3 linked regions of the Arabidopsis thaliana genome follow. The protein of the gene in region 1 purifies or fractionates together with the protein of each later gene. This does not show direct contact. Each region holds a gene or a part of one and is shown in the gene's direction. Other genes may lie near its edges.

Region 1 (6,571 bases):
TTTGGTAAGGGATTTAACTATTTTCCTTGTGAGTTTTGTTATCATGAGCACATTGGGTGTAGTTCTTGGTATGAGATCACTAGAATTTTTGATGTTTCAGTTACGAAGACTACCTTCGACGACAAAACCTTGTGATAGAATAAGATGAGACAGCAGTGGAAGGACTTGATGAAACTCCCAATTTTGTTGAGGTACCTGTTCTTATTATCTTCAAAATATGTCAGGCTTAGATATTTAATAACAGAACTGTTGCCACAAAGTCGAAAGATGACTTATTTGGGGGATGAATCTACTTTTGTTGTTATGCAATTTTAGTTCTTTCTTTCTCCTTAAAGAGTCGAGCTAACACACTTGGCTGTTATATTCAGGCAGTTGCTGTAAGAAAAAAGACGCTCTTTGTTTCCCGTCTCTCTCCGGAAGCTCAAATATCAGATATGTAAGTAGCACCGATAATTTTCTCTTTCATTTTACTGGAGCAAATTTTTCATGACTAATATTTATCCTTTGTTTTACAGCATCAATTTCTTCAAAGACGTTGGACAAGTTGTACATGTTCGACTTATTGTAGACTACACGGGCGAGCATGTGGGCGATGGCTTTGTTGAGTTTGCTTCTGCTAACGAAGCAGAGAAGGTAAGAGTAGTTTATAGTAATGATGGAAGGTATTAAAGTAGTAATTTAAAAAGTATTTTTATTAGATAAGAAGAGCCAAGTATCATTAAAAGAAGAGCAGCAAAAACAATATTCAAAATCAACAGCCAAGTATAGAACATTAGATAAGAGATCAGGAGCCACACCAATTAAATTACAGCGCCGGTGTTTTTCCCGGGAAGATTTGAGAGCAGCAATAAATCGATTCCCTAGAAGGAGAAAGAAGGGATTCATAAACACAATAATCTGGTTTTGGGCTTACGTGCTCGAGCGTCCACGTAAATGGGTCTTTTTATAAAATACCAATTTGGTTCTGGTAAATGCCGGTTCGATTTGTTTTAACGATACCAAAATTAATTTATCCCGTAACTGATCGGTTGAGATACGATGATCATCCTCCGGATTTTCTGAACCGTCACCATAAACCCACTTCTCCACCACCAGTCCACCACCTAAACAACCTCTACCTAAAACACGAAATTTGCGATATAGCCCTATATTTTCCATTTAATACAAAGAAACCCCTTTACTAAAACTATATGCACAACAAACTAGAAGTTATGTAATATATTGGCCAAAACGCTCACACTTTTACAAAAATGCTGATTTGTCTTATGATTGCAAGTTTGGTTGTCAATTTTTTTTTTTTGGTTATCAAAAGTTGCTTCTTTTTAAAAATTAGATTTTACTTTATGCAAAGAAATGAACAATTGCGATTAAAAAAAAAAAGATATTATATCAAAACTATCTAAATCATTATTTTGTTAGAATCAAAAAAATAAAATTGTATAAATCTATTGTTAATGGAATTCAAATCCAATAATTTAACAAAAATGGTTTTTCACATGATAATCAGAAAAGGTTAATATTAAATAAAATTAATCTCACATGATAATCATAAATTATCTTCTAACTAGAATCAAGTCAAAATGCATGAGCATATGCCACATCCGTGATAATTCAGTTTGCTGTCATTATATTTGCCAAAAAATACTCGGAATAGAAGTTGAGGTTTTAATCTAAGTAATTTTAAATATATGCACATTTATTGGAATATTAGCAAAGTACAGGGATCTATTCGAAACTTTTCCTTTCATTTAAGGTTTAGTGGAATATTAATCGCATAAAAACGTCAAAAAGGAATTTAATAAAGATCATTACTCTCTCTCTCTCTCTCTGCAGCTTTTAAAATCGCTTTCTCAATTCTCGTCGTTGTACCCATTTCAGTTTCTCTCAACGTAACTGCTTCACGGCGGCGAGTGAGTGAGTTCGACGTGAAATTTCAACTGATGGGAGCGTATTGCGACGAAAACCTAAGTAGTTTACCGGTGTTCTCCTCCGGCGCTCCGGCGAACGAGCTCCGGTTCAGCAAGCATGTCTACGATAACGTTCATGGAAACATCTATCTCGATCCTGTAAGTGGTTGATTTCCTTATAATCATCTTCGTTTCCTGTTTCTGTGATTCCTAATGGTTCGTTTGCGAGAGATAAGGAGCGACGCTCTAGAACTGTTTCTATGGAGATTTCTGTTGAAATTCCGGTGCCGTTTGTTCTAGTTGGAATCTGGATACTATCTTCGTTTATCTTACATTCATCGCCGTGATTTCGTCGGAATTTAATTGAACTATCGAGTCACGGATGGATTAGAGATTGCTGTTTACCGGAAAATTATGAAATGTATGGTTGAGTTTTGAGTCGGAGACTAATTTGATGAACCAACTGCAAAAATTTACTGGTGTTAATGGCTTTTGCTAAAATTGTTTCGTATTTTCTGTGTAAACAAGAGTTTTCATATTCTCTAAACCACTAGAGTGCCTACGTTCATATGTCTATGGAATCTCATTACTAATAGTTCCCAAATGTAGTTTACTATTGACTCAACATGGCATCTGTACTAATAGTTCACTTTTTGGTTTGCAGCTTTGTTTAAAATTCATTGACACTGAGCAGTTTCAGAGGTAAAGTCTTGGATTGTGCTTGTTTCCTTCAATGAATGACTTGCTAAAACCACAGTGTTCTGATTCATTATTCTAATTCCTTGTTTCAGGCTTCGTGAACTAAAGCAACTTGGTGAGTTGGCTTGCGTTTTCAACTCAAGTTGCCTCTCCTCTTGTTTAACGAAGAAGACAGTCTTGTTATGTCTATTTTCCCCCCATCGATAAACATGTATTTATTGTCAAATATAGGAAATTTTCCTTGAAAACTTTAAGGAGATTCTTCGTTAAGGTTTCTAGTTTTAACAGAAATGAGTCTTGAGTTGTGTATCTTCTTTCGTTGAGAGGAGTTTTTCTTTAATGGTTCAGGAGTGACAAACATGGTATATCCAGGAGCTGTACATTCGAGATTTGAGCACTCTCTAGGCGTGTATTGGCTTGCAGGCGAAACTGCTCAGAGGCTAAAAAATTTCCAGGTTTTAATTTGGATTTCAGTGGTGCAGTCACATTTTGATTTAAGTATGGTAAGGTTTGTAATGTACGTGCTTAACTTTCTATAGGGAATGGAGCTTGGTATTGACAATTATGATCTTCAGACTGTGAGACTTGCTGGTAAGTGGTAACTATTATTAGCTCAATGACTACATTATTCCTTGATACAATTTCTGATCTGTTTGTATGTGTAGGACTTCTCCATGATATTGGCCATGGGCCTTTCAGTCATATGTTTGAGCGTGAATTCCTTCCAAAGGTCATAAGTGACTGTCAGTGGTATGTTTGCACATTCCTTGAAAAGATCAATGCCATGGTGTTACTTGATATTATAAGAACTATGCCTTAACTTTTAGTAGTTGGCTTCTATGGATTATCTCTAGCTCTTTATATGCCAATTCTTCGATGCAGGTCTCATGAGTTAATGTCTGTAAACATGATTGACCATATGGTTGATACACATCACATCGATATTGATGCTCAAATGCTGAAAAGAGTGAAGGTAACTTTCTTTCTTAAGACTGTTTTGCTTCCCTCAAATGGCCTCTATTATTTGAAACTGGAAATTGTGACATTATTTCCAGTCTTTACAAATCCAATTTAATATTTATTGCTTCCTTTGTCTCTTTGCTGATGATTTTCTCTAATGTTAACTGACCAGGACATGATACTAGCTAGTACTGAATTTTCACAGCTGAAAGTAAGTTTTATAACAAGTATGTTCTCTATTCTAATCAAACATGAACAACTACTTAAGCTTTGTATATATTTTCCCTTTTTCATAATTTGCAGGGCAATGCAGAGAAGCGTTTCTTGTATGATATTGTTGCTAATGGTCGAAATGGGATTGATGTGGACAAGTAATTCTTTACCTGTATACTTGTCTGCAGTTTCTTTCTTTCCCTTTTCACTCATCATGGTGCGTAAATTTGAACCTTTATCTTACAACATCAACTTTTAATGTCTGCAAATATTTATAGGTTTGACTACCTTGTCCGTGATTCTCGAGCTTGTGGACTGGGATCCAATTTTCAATTCCAAAGGTCTTCATTCTATTCTATAGTCATTTCACTGGTTTCTAATAAGGAAATTGCTAATTATTAGAACTTTCTAGACTGACAGAGACGATGAGAGTCCTGGACAATGAAATCTGCTTCCGCGCCAAGGAGTGTAAGTTTTGCCCACCTAAATTCTCTATTTGCGTTTGCTTCTATCCCATTTTAAACCCGGTTAATTTTTCAGATCTTAGTGTCCACAAGTTATTTGCAACTCGAGCTGATCTTTATCGAACCGTCTACACGCATTCGAAAGTAAAGGTATTATACCATTATCATTCTCTCTGTACCTTGACTATTCTTTCTCTCTTTCCCACTTGTCTCGTTCCATTCATTTGCAGGCGATAGAGCTGATGATAGTAGATGCCATGGTCAAAGCCAACAATCATTTGGAAATTTCTTCTATGATTAATGACCCATCTGAATACTGGAAGGTACAGTTCTTCCTCAGAAGACAAATATTACCTTTCTGCTTGTTTACATAGTTTTTGTTCTCCATAAACAAATGCAGTTAGACGACACAATCCTCAAAACTATCGAAATAGCTCCAGATCCAGAACTTGCAGAAGCGAAAGAGCTGATACTCCGTGTTCGCAGAAGGCAGTTGTACCAAGTATATAAAATTTTCACCCAGTTTCTTCTTTTTCTTTTATGCTTAATTAGGTTAAGAATTTCCCTTCAGAAGATTGACCTGTATGAATTTTGACTTTCAGTTCTGTAACGAATATGCGGTTCCAAAGGACAAAATCGATCATTTCAAAGCTGTCACTCCTCAAGATATCATCTGTTCTCAGGTTTGTACAATCTTTAGCACTTAAATAGAGGAAAAGTATATTGTACAGTCCATTACCATACTTATATTGCTTTCTGATTTAACAGAAGCACACAAGCTTGACACTAAAAGAAGAAGATATAGCTGTTACAAACGTCAAGATTGACTTGGCTCGTGGGAGAGAAAATCCGCTTGAATGGTAAAAAAAGTACAGTTTAGCTTCTTTGTTTTCTCAGTTTCCCTCATTAAAATTCTAACCAACTTACCTTTGTGTTGGATCTGGCTCCTTCAGCATCAACTTCTATAAGGTACATACAGAAAAGTCTTTGGTCTTGTTTTTGAGATTTGCTTCTGTAAATGTGTAAAGAGGAAAATAACACAGAATCTCAATAAATTGATTTATATGGTGTTTACAGGATTATGATAGTGCAGAGAAGTTTGTGATACCTGAGGACAGAGTCAGTCACTTGTTACCAACAACATATCAAGACATGATAGTGAGAGTATATGCCAAAAAACCAGAATTGGTAAGTGATTATTATTAACCCTCATTAATCTTTAATACATTATGGTTTCTAGTGATGCACACGAAGTAACGTTTTTATTTTTGGTTTGCAAAATTGATCAACAGGTAGAAGCAGTTTCTGAGGCATTTGAAAACTTCCAAATGAGAACGTATGGAATCAAAGCTCAAGTACACGCAACACCTGAGAAAAAGAAAAGGCGTGTGATGTAATTACACGTGGCCTTAATTCATTTCATTTCAAACGGTTTTATTTTGGTTTTTAAGGTCTTGAAACTTTAGATATGGATGCGTGTACATATAGCATGCCTTAGTCTTACGATATCGAAGCCTTGGATTCAGACAGCGTGTTTATACGTAAGAAAAGGAAAAGCAAGGCACCATTTCTTAAGATTTCGGATTTCGTACGGTTTTATCTTAAGTCTTTTTTTAAGCACAGCTTCGCAGATTGTGTGGCTTATTTTGTTTTCACATTGAAGGCAGTAGCTACTTTTGACATTTTTTCATAGGATATTATTTTACTCTAAAAAAGCAACAAAATAGATTTTAACCTAAACCAACTTTGAGAAATGCATCTACATTATTAACATATGCTTTTTACTTAATCGTGTATACTCGCCTGCATCTACATTATTAACATATGCTTTTTACTCAGTCTATATGCCATTCACCTATCTCATTAGTTGCAACAATATACTCGACAACATATCAGATGTAAATACATTCGATTTTACCTTTTGGTTGAGAAAAGAAAAGTGGTCATTAATGATTGTGACATCTCGAGAAGCAAATTGCTCTCTAGTGTCAAGATCAAACAAAAGTGCACCCCTTCTTTGCATAGAGATAGATAACGCACGAAAAAAATATATCTAGCAAACTTATTCTCTTGTCGCTTTTGACTGTGCTAACGTAAGACATCCAAACACATGTATCACGGTATACTTTAGTGTTTCTCCAAAGAATATGAAGTTTTCTCCTAATGTAAGTTATGTAATGTCACTCACGGTGTACGATTTATCAAATAAGTTTCCCTTAAGAATACATTCGCCCAAAAGTTCCGTTGTCAAATGCTCTTTGAAACATCATAGCATGTGTCACATTCAAAATATGATGATGTTTTCCTTTAACCCTTTCCGTTTGGTCA
Region 2 (3,987 bases), on another chromosome or scaffold:
AAGAACATCGAAAAGATTATGTATACAATGGCACCACCGCTAGAGTTTCTGTGGCTCAAATGTTTCATGTACATAGCATATGATCATCAATGCATAGATTATAACAGAACTTAAGTGGGTGTTAGAGCTTATGTTCCATAGACCTGATGAACTTATACAAGAAGAATAGAAAAACTAGGCATGAAAAAATCTCCATTGAAAATCCCGCTAAAATCAATTGTTCTGTCTAGTATGTGATAGTGCATGCAGAAAGGTCTGAAATTTGTGAGCCTATTTTACTATCCTGATAACCATATGCATTATTGAGCAAAAATCCACTTCTACATGAATGATAATGAAATATTTACTAAACTGAGCTATTGATACCAACAAAATCTTACACAGGTTAGGTAATAAGACAAATCACCATGACATTCCAAAGAGGTAATAAGACAAATCCTAAGCAGCTAGATCAGGAAAAGTCATGAAATGCAAGTTTGTGGCAGTTTGAAAAATAAATGTCATGAAGCTAATGGGCATAGTAGAGTAGCACAAACCTCTAAGCTGAGTAACATTAGATTTGTCCTCAAAGCTTTTCAAACGCTGGAGGATCTCATCAACTAGTTTGTGTTTAACATTAGGAGATAGTTCAGTACTAGATTCTGCAGTGGAAACCTCATGCTTGAGCTTCTTCACCTAACAAGGAAATCAAACATTGTGAGAAGAGCCAATGTGCATCTTCGAGTTCCATTTTAAAAAGCCACTAACCAATTGAAGAATCAGAGTAGGTTCCTTCGATCTTCGAATCCGAATAGATTCCTCCATTTTCCTAATCTCATCAGCTGTGTACTTAACAACTGAATAACAAAAAACCAACAGAGCTGCTTCAGATACGAATTATCATGAATCAGAGAGCAAAAATGAAAAGGAAAATAAAAAGTAGGAACCATTATCGTTATTGGAATAGATGTGGAGAGAAGAAGCATAGAGAAAGCGAAGAACAAAGAGAGCAATGAGAATGTTGAAAAAGCAAACAAGTAGAGTGATTCTTTTGAAAGAGAGAACTCCGGTTCCGGCGATCCCTCCGGTCCATTCTCCTCCTCCCCTCGCCATCTCCCTCCGCCGTCATCCCACCATTTCTCAAGATCTCGCTTCCGATTATAATTACACTTTTGCTTTAAATCGAACACTTGAAAGAGAGATTCGATTTCTTTTTTTTTTGCTTCTTCTTCCGGCGGAAAAAGGAAATCGTGGGAGATAGAGAGAGAGAGCTTTTAATTATTACTCTATTAATTTATTTTTCACTCGACAGAGACAGAGATATATACCAATCTCATCAATGCGTGTGGATAAAAACGTCGTATGTATTTCTTTGGCAGCGTCTATACTAGATAGGAAGTTTTGTAGTATTATTTCTTGCAATTGTTATGTAAATACTACATCTTTAAATGTGGTGATAATCCTATGATTCATGTCATTGCCATTTTTCAATCCAATATATGAAAAAAATGGAAATTAAATTTTTGAAAAACTACCTTTTACCTAGCTCCTTGTCAACATACGAATTCTAATTGAGACTCTCTTCTTGTAGCTTTTCTTTTCTTTGCTTATAATCAGAAAACACAACACACCCGATCATTCCCCAACCCCGGTTTAACCAAAACTCCGTGTCGGTCATATCTATCTGCGTGATCTTCCTTGAAAGTCGAGAGATCTGCTGATTAGGGTTTGGATTCGATCTTTGAAAAAGTTGGCGAGTGGATTTTGAATCATGGAAGTAGATGATGGTTACGTGGAGTATGTTCCAGTAGAGGAGCGTCTAGCGCAGATGAAGCGAAAGGTGGTGGAAGAACCTGGCAAGGTAAAGCTCACTGAAGAAGCTAAACCTAGCTTACTTGTTCAAGCAACTCAGCTCAAGCGACATGTACCTTAAGTCAGTGCTACCGAGGCCATTATTTTACAAGAGAAGGGGATGATGGAGCATTTATCTGACAAGAAGAAGCTTATGTCTGTTGGTGAATTAGCCAGAGGTATCACTTATACAGAGCCTCTCTCAACATGGTGGAAACCCCCTCTGCACGTTAGGAAGATGTCAACCAAACAGATGGATTTGATTAGGAAGCAATGGCATATTACAGTTAACGGTGAAGATATTCCTCCTCCAATCAAAAACTTCATGGATATGAAATTTCCGAGTCCACTTCTCCGTATGCTCAAGGATAAAGGAATAATGCACCCTACTCCTATCCAAGTTCAGGGTCTTCCTGTTGTTTTGTCTGGCAGAGATATGATTGGGATTGCGTTCACTGGTTCCGGAAAGACGTTGGTTTTCGTGCTTCCTATGATCATATTAGCTCTGCAGGAGGAGATAATGATGCCTATAGCTGCTGGAGAAGGTCCCATTGCGCTTGTTATTTGTCCGTCTAGAGAGCTTGCTAAGCAGACTTACGATGTGGTTGAACAGTTTGTGGCATCTTTAGTCGAGGATGGATACCCGCGGTTGAGGTCGTTGCTATGCATTGGAGGAGTGGATATGAGATCACAGTTGGACGTTGTTAAGAAAGGTGTTCACATCGTTGTTGCTACTCCTGGAAGGTTGAAGGATATCCTCGCCAAGAAAAAGATGAGCTTAGATGCTTGCAGGTTGTTGACACTGGATGAAGCAGATAGGTTGGTTGATTTGGGTTTCGAAGATGACATAAGACATGTCTTTGACCACTTTAAGTCTCAGCGTCAAACACTTTTGTTTTCTGCCACAATGCCTGCAAAAATCCAAATCTTTGCCACAAGTGCTCTGGTGAAACCTGTAACTGTTAATGTAGGAAGAGCTGGAGCTGCGAATCTCGATGTCATACAGGAGGTTGAATACGTCAAGCAAGAAGCAAAGATTGTTTACCTTCTGGAGTGTCTGCAGAAAACCACTCCACCGGTTTTAATATTCTGTGAGAACAAAGCTGATGTTGATGATATTCACGAGTACTTGTTACTGAAAGGAGTGGAAGCAGTGGCTATCCATGGAGGAAAAGATCAAGAAGACAGAGATTACGCAATATCTTTGTTCAAAGCTGGGAAAAAAGACGTTTTGGTCGCGACCGATGTTGCTTCAAAGGGTTTAGATTTCCCTGATATACAACATGTAATCAACTACGACATGCCTGGGGAGATTGAGAACTACGTGCATAGGATAGGAAGAACAGGTCGCTGTGGGAAAACTGGGATAGCAACTACGTTTATAAACAAGAACCAAAGCGAAATCACGCTGCTCGATTTGAAACACTTGTTGCAAGAAGCTAAACAGAGGATTCCACCTGTCCTTGCTGAGCTTAATGGTCCAATGGAAGAAACAGAAACCATTGCTAATGCAAGCGGTGTCAAGGGTTGTGCTTATTGTGGTGGTCTCGGGCATCGGATTCTACAGTGTCCAAAATTTGAACATCAGAAGAGTGTAGCTATATCTAGTTCTAGGAAAGACCATTTTGGCTCTGATGGATACAGAGGAGAGGTGTAATCTTGTTTCAAGGTTCGTGCTCTAATCTTGTTTCGAACTAGCTATCACCGAATTGAGATTTCTTTACTCATTATGTCATCTTGTATTTTCGTGGATCTGTCTGTAATTTGAAATTTTGTTTCACTCAAATGAGAAACTTACTAGTTCTTTGTTATCTGTAGTATGTGACAAAACAAAACACAAAAGAATCTTGCTATTGGTTGATCCAGCTTTCAGACAATGATGTTTGTATTAAATATTAATTAATTAAACCCTCTCAACCAATTAGAGGTTTCTTGGCTTAGAAAAGCAACGATGGGCCCAAAGATGCCCAACACAGAAACAGAAAATATGAAAATATTAGTCACCGGCTCTACTGGTTACTTAGGCGCACGACTCTGCCACGTTCTCCTCCGTCGTGGCCACTCCGTACGTGCATTGGTCCGCCGCACCAGCGATCTCTCTGACTTACCTCCAGAAGTTGAGCTCGCCTATGGAGACGTAACGGATTACCGTTCTCT
Region 3 (5,077 bases), 4.7 Mb from region 1:
GAAAAATTGCATCACATGATGTTAGTCACTTTATATGATATCTTGAGGATTTAACGTTTTTAAATATTTTTGTAGTCCATGTTACATAGTGTAAAACTGTAAAGTAACAAAATGCGTATTCTTCTTAAATCTCACATAGTTCTGCCATGTATATATAATCCCTCTGCATGGCACTTCAAATGAGAATATTGAATGGAGAGTCGGAGACCATATGAAATCATGGATCACGTTCATGATAGAGATCTATATATCCCAATTCACATATATACTATATATATTCTATAATATATCATCTAGGAATACAGATGAAACTGTTACAGAGAATAACAAAATTTCGTGATAATTAAATCTAATATTCATTTATTATTCTTAATACTTTGAATATATATGGAAAAAACATTTATCTAAAATAATTCTTCTATTTAAATAGGGGACTTCAGATTTTTAAAATTTGAGTATTTTGCTTGAAGAAATGAGTATTTTTTTATAAAACTTTCCTTATGTTTTAAGATGAATTTTTCATCTTGTAACTAGACATATGATGTAATTCCAATTTCTTTTACTTTTATTTTTTATTATATATGTAATTCCAATTTCATTTGGTTTTTGCGGTTAGTTTACGAATGAATTCTACATATTACAAAAATATCATAAAATACATATAATGATCTATATTTTAATGGGGTTTTCCTCCCTTGGTTGCTCGCATGATCTATCTTGCCATCACGTCTTTTTGTCTCCCGATCCCTATAATATAGGTATGTGACAATGTGTGTCTATCTTTTTCTTTCTCTTTTAAGTTTTTAACCAATCCAATTTTTGTCAACAACACAATCCAATGAATTCTAACTAATATACTATGAAAGTGGCATATTAATATAAGTTTATATGAATGAACGAGAAAATGCACTTAGACATAAAAGAGGGAAAGAGAGATACATATGCAATGTCAACGTTGCTCAGCTTCACAAACCCATGTTATGAATCTTTTTCTTAGGTACATCAAGTCGTATGATTCTTTTTAAACAAACCATCAAGTATGATTCATTATATGGTTATATCCCAAATAAGAAAATATATAGATAAATACATTTAAATATTGCATGATGTCATGCACCAAAAAGCAACAATATATAATCAACATGATATAGAACTTCGACCCCAACTCCTCCTTCTTACTTGAACTTGTTTTTGGAATTGATATTATTTTTGGGTAAAATTAATGGTTAATTCATTTGAGTCAGGTTTATTTTCTTTTGAATTCAGGTCGGACTTTGAATTTCTTTTTCTTTTCTTAGTCAATATCATCATGGTTAGATGCGAACCATGACCGGGACAATATCGGCTATGTATTTTCTGTTTTGGTACATGTCACTATGTCACCTTGTTTAATTTTAGTTGTTCTGTTTGTGTAACTACGAGTCTACGAATACATTGTCTAATGAAATGTGTTGTTATGTTATATCACATGTCATATATAGTGTAACTCACAAAAGATGTATCATGTCATTTTCTTTATTTAAATCGTGTTACGTAATGTGAAGAACTTAACAATATATTAGCAATTTTAATACATCTGAAAATCATTCAAAAAATCGAAAAACAGAACAAAATTTTGTTATCGTAAACAACCAAGTTAAATGATAGATGAACACAATAGATCAAGGATAAAAAAAAGTTGAGATTTGAGATGAATTTGTTTTTTTTTTGTTTTTGTCACTGAAATCTTTATTGAAAGCCCATTAACTTACAGATAATAGGCCCAATAAACAAAATTTACACGCCGTCTAAACCCGATTTCCGACGACCTACAGAAAAACTTCGGTCGGTCAGTGACCCTTTAAAGGAAAGCTATTAGCGATTGATTCGAGAGATGTGCAAAGCTTGTTGATTTGAGGCTCTCTCTCTACTAGGGTTTGTTGATTTGAGTTTTCTATTCCTCCTATACGTGTTCTTCGATTCTCCTGGGATTTTTTTTTGAAAAAGGGAATAGAAGAAGAAGTTGCTGAATTCTCGATATGGAATCCATCATGGAAGAAGCTGATAGTTACATTGAGTATGTATCAGTGGCGGAGCGGAGAGCGATTGCAGCGCAGAAGATACTTCAGCGGAAGGGAAAAGCTTCGGAATTGGAAGAAGAAGCTGACAAGGAAAAGCTCGCTGAAGCTAAACCTAGTTTACTTGTTCAAGCAACTCAGCTCAAGCGAGATGTACCCGAAGTTAGTGCTACTGAGCAAATCATCTTACAAGAGAAAGAGATGATGGAGCATTTATCTGATAAGAAGACGCTTATGTCTGTTCGTGAACTTGCCAAAGGTATCACTTATACAGAGCCTCTCTTAACTGGGTGGAAACCTCCTTTGCATATTAGGAAGATGTCTAGTAAGCAGAGAGATTTGATTAGGAAGCAATGGCATATTATTGTTAATGGTGATGATATTCCTCCTCCTATTAAGAACTTTAAGGATATGAAGTTTCCTAGACCTGTTCTCGATACTCTCAAGGAGAAAGGTATTGTGCAGCCTACTCCTATTCAAGTTCAGGGTCTTCCTGTGATTTTGGCTGGGAGAGATATGATTGGGATTGCTTTCACTGGTTCCGGAAAGACTTTGGTTTTCGTGCTTCCCATGATCATGATTGCTCTCCAAGAAGAGATGATGATGCCTATTGCTGCTGGTGAAGGTCCCATTGGGCTTATTGTTTGCCCTTCTAGAGAGCTTGCTAGGCAGACTTATGAAGTGGTTGAGCAGTTTGTGGCTCCTTTGGTTGAGGCTGGGTACCCGCCATTGAGGTCGTTGCTATGTATTGGAGGTATTGATATGAGATCCCAGTTGGAGGTTGTCAAGAGAGGTGTCCATATTGTTGTTGCAACCCCTGGGAGGTTAAAGGATATGCTCGCCAAGAAAAAGATGAGCTTAGATGCTTGCAGGTATGATTTCTTTGGTTCTTTTCAATATGATTAATCAACCTGATTGTAATATATGTTTGCGTCTACTGTCTTGGCTGCCTTGTTTGATCTTATATCCTCGTTTTCTGAGTTTTGCACTTGGCTAGATTCTTGGGGATATCTGCTTATTGTGCCTGTTTTGTTGTTTCTGGTTAACGGGATAGATCAATAGGATTGTCTAGTGTCTGTTAGCTACTTAGCGCTTCATTGCTATATATGTTCTTTATTGTGTGATTCTATCGGATTTTTTCTCTCTGAATAAATTTTCCGCACTGGTGTTTCTTTCTGAATGCATCTTTCTTGTCTTTGGAGTCTTGAGACTGTGTCATTTAATTTCAAAATCTTGAGAATGTTAGATGGCAATGATGTTTACCTTCCTTTTTTTCCTTTTTTTAGGTACCTGACACTAGATGAGGCAGATAGGTTGGTTGATTTGGGTTTCGAAGATGACATAAGGGAAGTCTTTGACCACTTTAAGTCTCAACGTCAAACACTATTGTTCTCTGCCACAATGCCCACAAAGATTCAAATCTTTGCCAGAAGTGCTCTGGTGAAACCTGTGACAGTTAATGTAGGAAGAGCTGGAGCTGCGAATCTGGATGTGATCCAGGAGGTAGAATACGTCAAACAAGAAGCAAAGATTGTTTACCTCCTCGAGTGTCTACAGAAAACCTCTCCGCCGGTTTTGATATTCTGTGAGAACAAAGCTGATGTTGATGATATTCACGAGTACTTGTTACTGAAAGGAGTGGAAGCAGTGGCCATCCATGGAGGAAAAGATCAAGAAGACAGAGAGTACGCAATCTCTTCGTTTAAAGCTGGGAAAAAAGATGTGTTGGTTGCGACTGATGTTGCTTCAAAGGGTCTAGATTTCCCTGATATACAACACGTAATCAACTACGACATGCCAGCAGAGATTGAGAACTATGTGCATAGGATAGGACGAACAGGTCGGTGTGGTAAAACTGGGATAGCAACGACGTTTATAAACAAGAATCAAAGCGAAACCACTCTGCTGGATTTGAAACACTTGTTGCAAGAAGCTAAACAGAGGATTCCACCTGTCCTTGCTGAGCTGAATGATCCAATGGAAGAAGCAGAGACCATTGCTAATGCAAGTGGTGTCAAGGGTTGTGCCTATTGTGGTGGTCTTGGACATCGTATCCGAGACTGTCCAAAACTTGAGCACCAGAAGAGTGTCGCCATTTCTAACTCAAGAAAAGATTATTTTGGCTCGGGTGGCTACAGAGGAGAAATATAATCTTGTTTTGTTCCCTTTGCTAGTTATCTCATCTTAGCTGTTACCGAACTGTGATGTTTGTGATGTTTATCTTCCATATGTCACGCTTTTTACACTGAGTCGAGTTCTATCATGTCAAAATATTTCTTAGTTAATATATATGGTCGGATTCTTGAACTAAATTTTGTACACAATGTGCATGCGGTAAGGTGCAAGGTCTTTCGAATTGTATCCCTAAGGTTGCTTTTGAGTTTAGTTGTTCATTTTGGTGTCTCTTCTTTCTGTTGTTATTGTTACAAGTGCCCCTTTACACCGTTGGGTTGTATTGAAGATACATTTTCATATCAGCGCTGAAAGGTAACGTTTTTTTTTTATGGGGAAAAAGGTATAGACTATTAATTACATCATAATGATGTTTACAATGAGAAAGAGTAATATCATCTCCAATCTCCAATGGTTACATCTCGAATTTTTGGATACTATAATATGTTTGCCATGTTCTTTTTTTGGCAACATTGTCATGTTCACTATAAGACTTTTCTAGTTTCCAGTCTCATTTGGCTTTTTCACTTGGGTCACTAACTATGCACAAAAGCTTCATATAAAACCACATTCACATGCATGTTGTTATATCTCTGGACCAGATGCGAACAGAGGTATAAGGCCACGCAATACTTGGGCTGATAATTGGTGAGCCTCAAAGATCTCTCCGTCCAAATTCCACACACTCTCTTCCCCAAATGATGTAAACGTGAAAGCTCGCGTCTGCATTACCAAATATATTTTGATCAGGACCCAACCAAGTTAAGAAGATTAGAAAAGGAAAATGTTTTACAAACCTTGTGATATTCCACAAACTCGAAGTTCAAAGGTTCTCCACCTCTTTTTGC

What was found.
Region 2: the proteins of AT5G40270 (region 1) and AT4G33370 fractionate together in Arabidopsis thaliana (co-fractionation; one large-scale study listed by BioGRID). This does not show direct contact.
Region 3: the proteins of AT5G40270 (region 1) and AT5G51280 fractionate together in Arabidopsis thaliana (co-fractionation; one large-scale study listed by BioGRID). This does not show direct contact.

Annotation. Positions count from the first base shown.
Region 1 is NC_003076.8:16,092,463-16,099,033, reverse strand, and holds AT5G40270 (HD domain-containing metal-dependent phosphohydrolase family protein), read left to right. Parts: upstream 1-1,790; 5' UTR 1,791-1,940; coding exon 1,941-2,066; intron 2,067-2,571; coding exon 2,572-2,609; intron 2,610-2,698; coding exon 2,699-2,721; intron 2,722-2,954; coding exon 2,955-3,061; intron 3,062-3,145; coding exon 3,146-3,197; intron 3,198-3,271; coding exon 3,272-3,356; intron 3,357-3,488; coding exon 3,489-3,579; intron 3,580-3,738; coding exon 3,739-3,777; intron 3,778-3,869; coding exon 3,870-3,937; intron 3,938-4,057; coding exon 4,058-4,120; intron 4,121-4,191; coding exon 4,192-4,247; intron 4,248-4,319; coding exon 4,320-4,393; intron 4,394-4,473; coding exon 4,474-4,566; intron 4,567-4,643; coding exon 4,644-4,745; intron 4,746-4,845; coding exon 4,846-4,926; intron 4,927-5,011; coding exon 5,012-5,103; coding exon of another isoform or gene 5,104-5,107; exon of another isoform or gene 5,108-5,196; coding exon 5,197-5,212; intron 5,213-5,320; coding exon 5,321-5,431; intron 5,432-5,535; coding exon 5,536-5,640; and 2 more.
Region 2 is NC_003075.7:16,069,169-16,073,155, reverse strand, and holds AT4G33370 (DEA(D/H)-box RNA helicase family protein), read left to right. Parts: upstream 1-1,750; coding exon 1,751-1,840; intron 1,841-1,948; coding exon 1,949-3,487; downstream 3,488-3,987. Other genes in the region: AT4G33380 (dimethylallyl, adenosine tRNA methylthiotransferase), read right to left, coding at 537-675, 748-836, 927-1,092; FLDH (NAD(P)-binding Rossmann-fold superfamily protein), read left to right, coding at 3,782-3,987.
Region 3 is NC_003076.8:20,839,438-20,844,514, forward strand, and holds AT5G51280 (DEAD-box protein abstrakt), read left to right. Parts: upstream 1-1,801; 5' UTR 1,802-2,018; coding exon 2,019-2,929; intron 2,930-3,343; coding exon 3,344-4,208; 3' UTR 4,209-4,555; downstream 4,556-5,077. Other genes in the region: ACD5 (Diacylglycerol kinase family protein), read right to left, coding at 4,815-4,952, 5,027-5,077.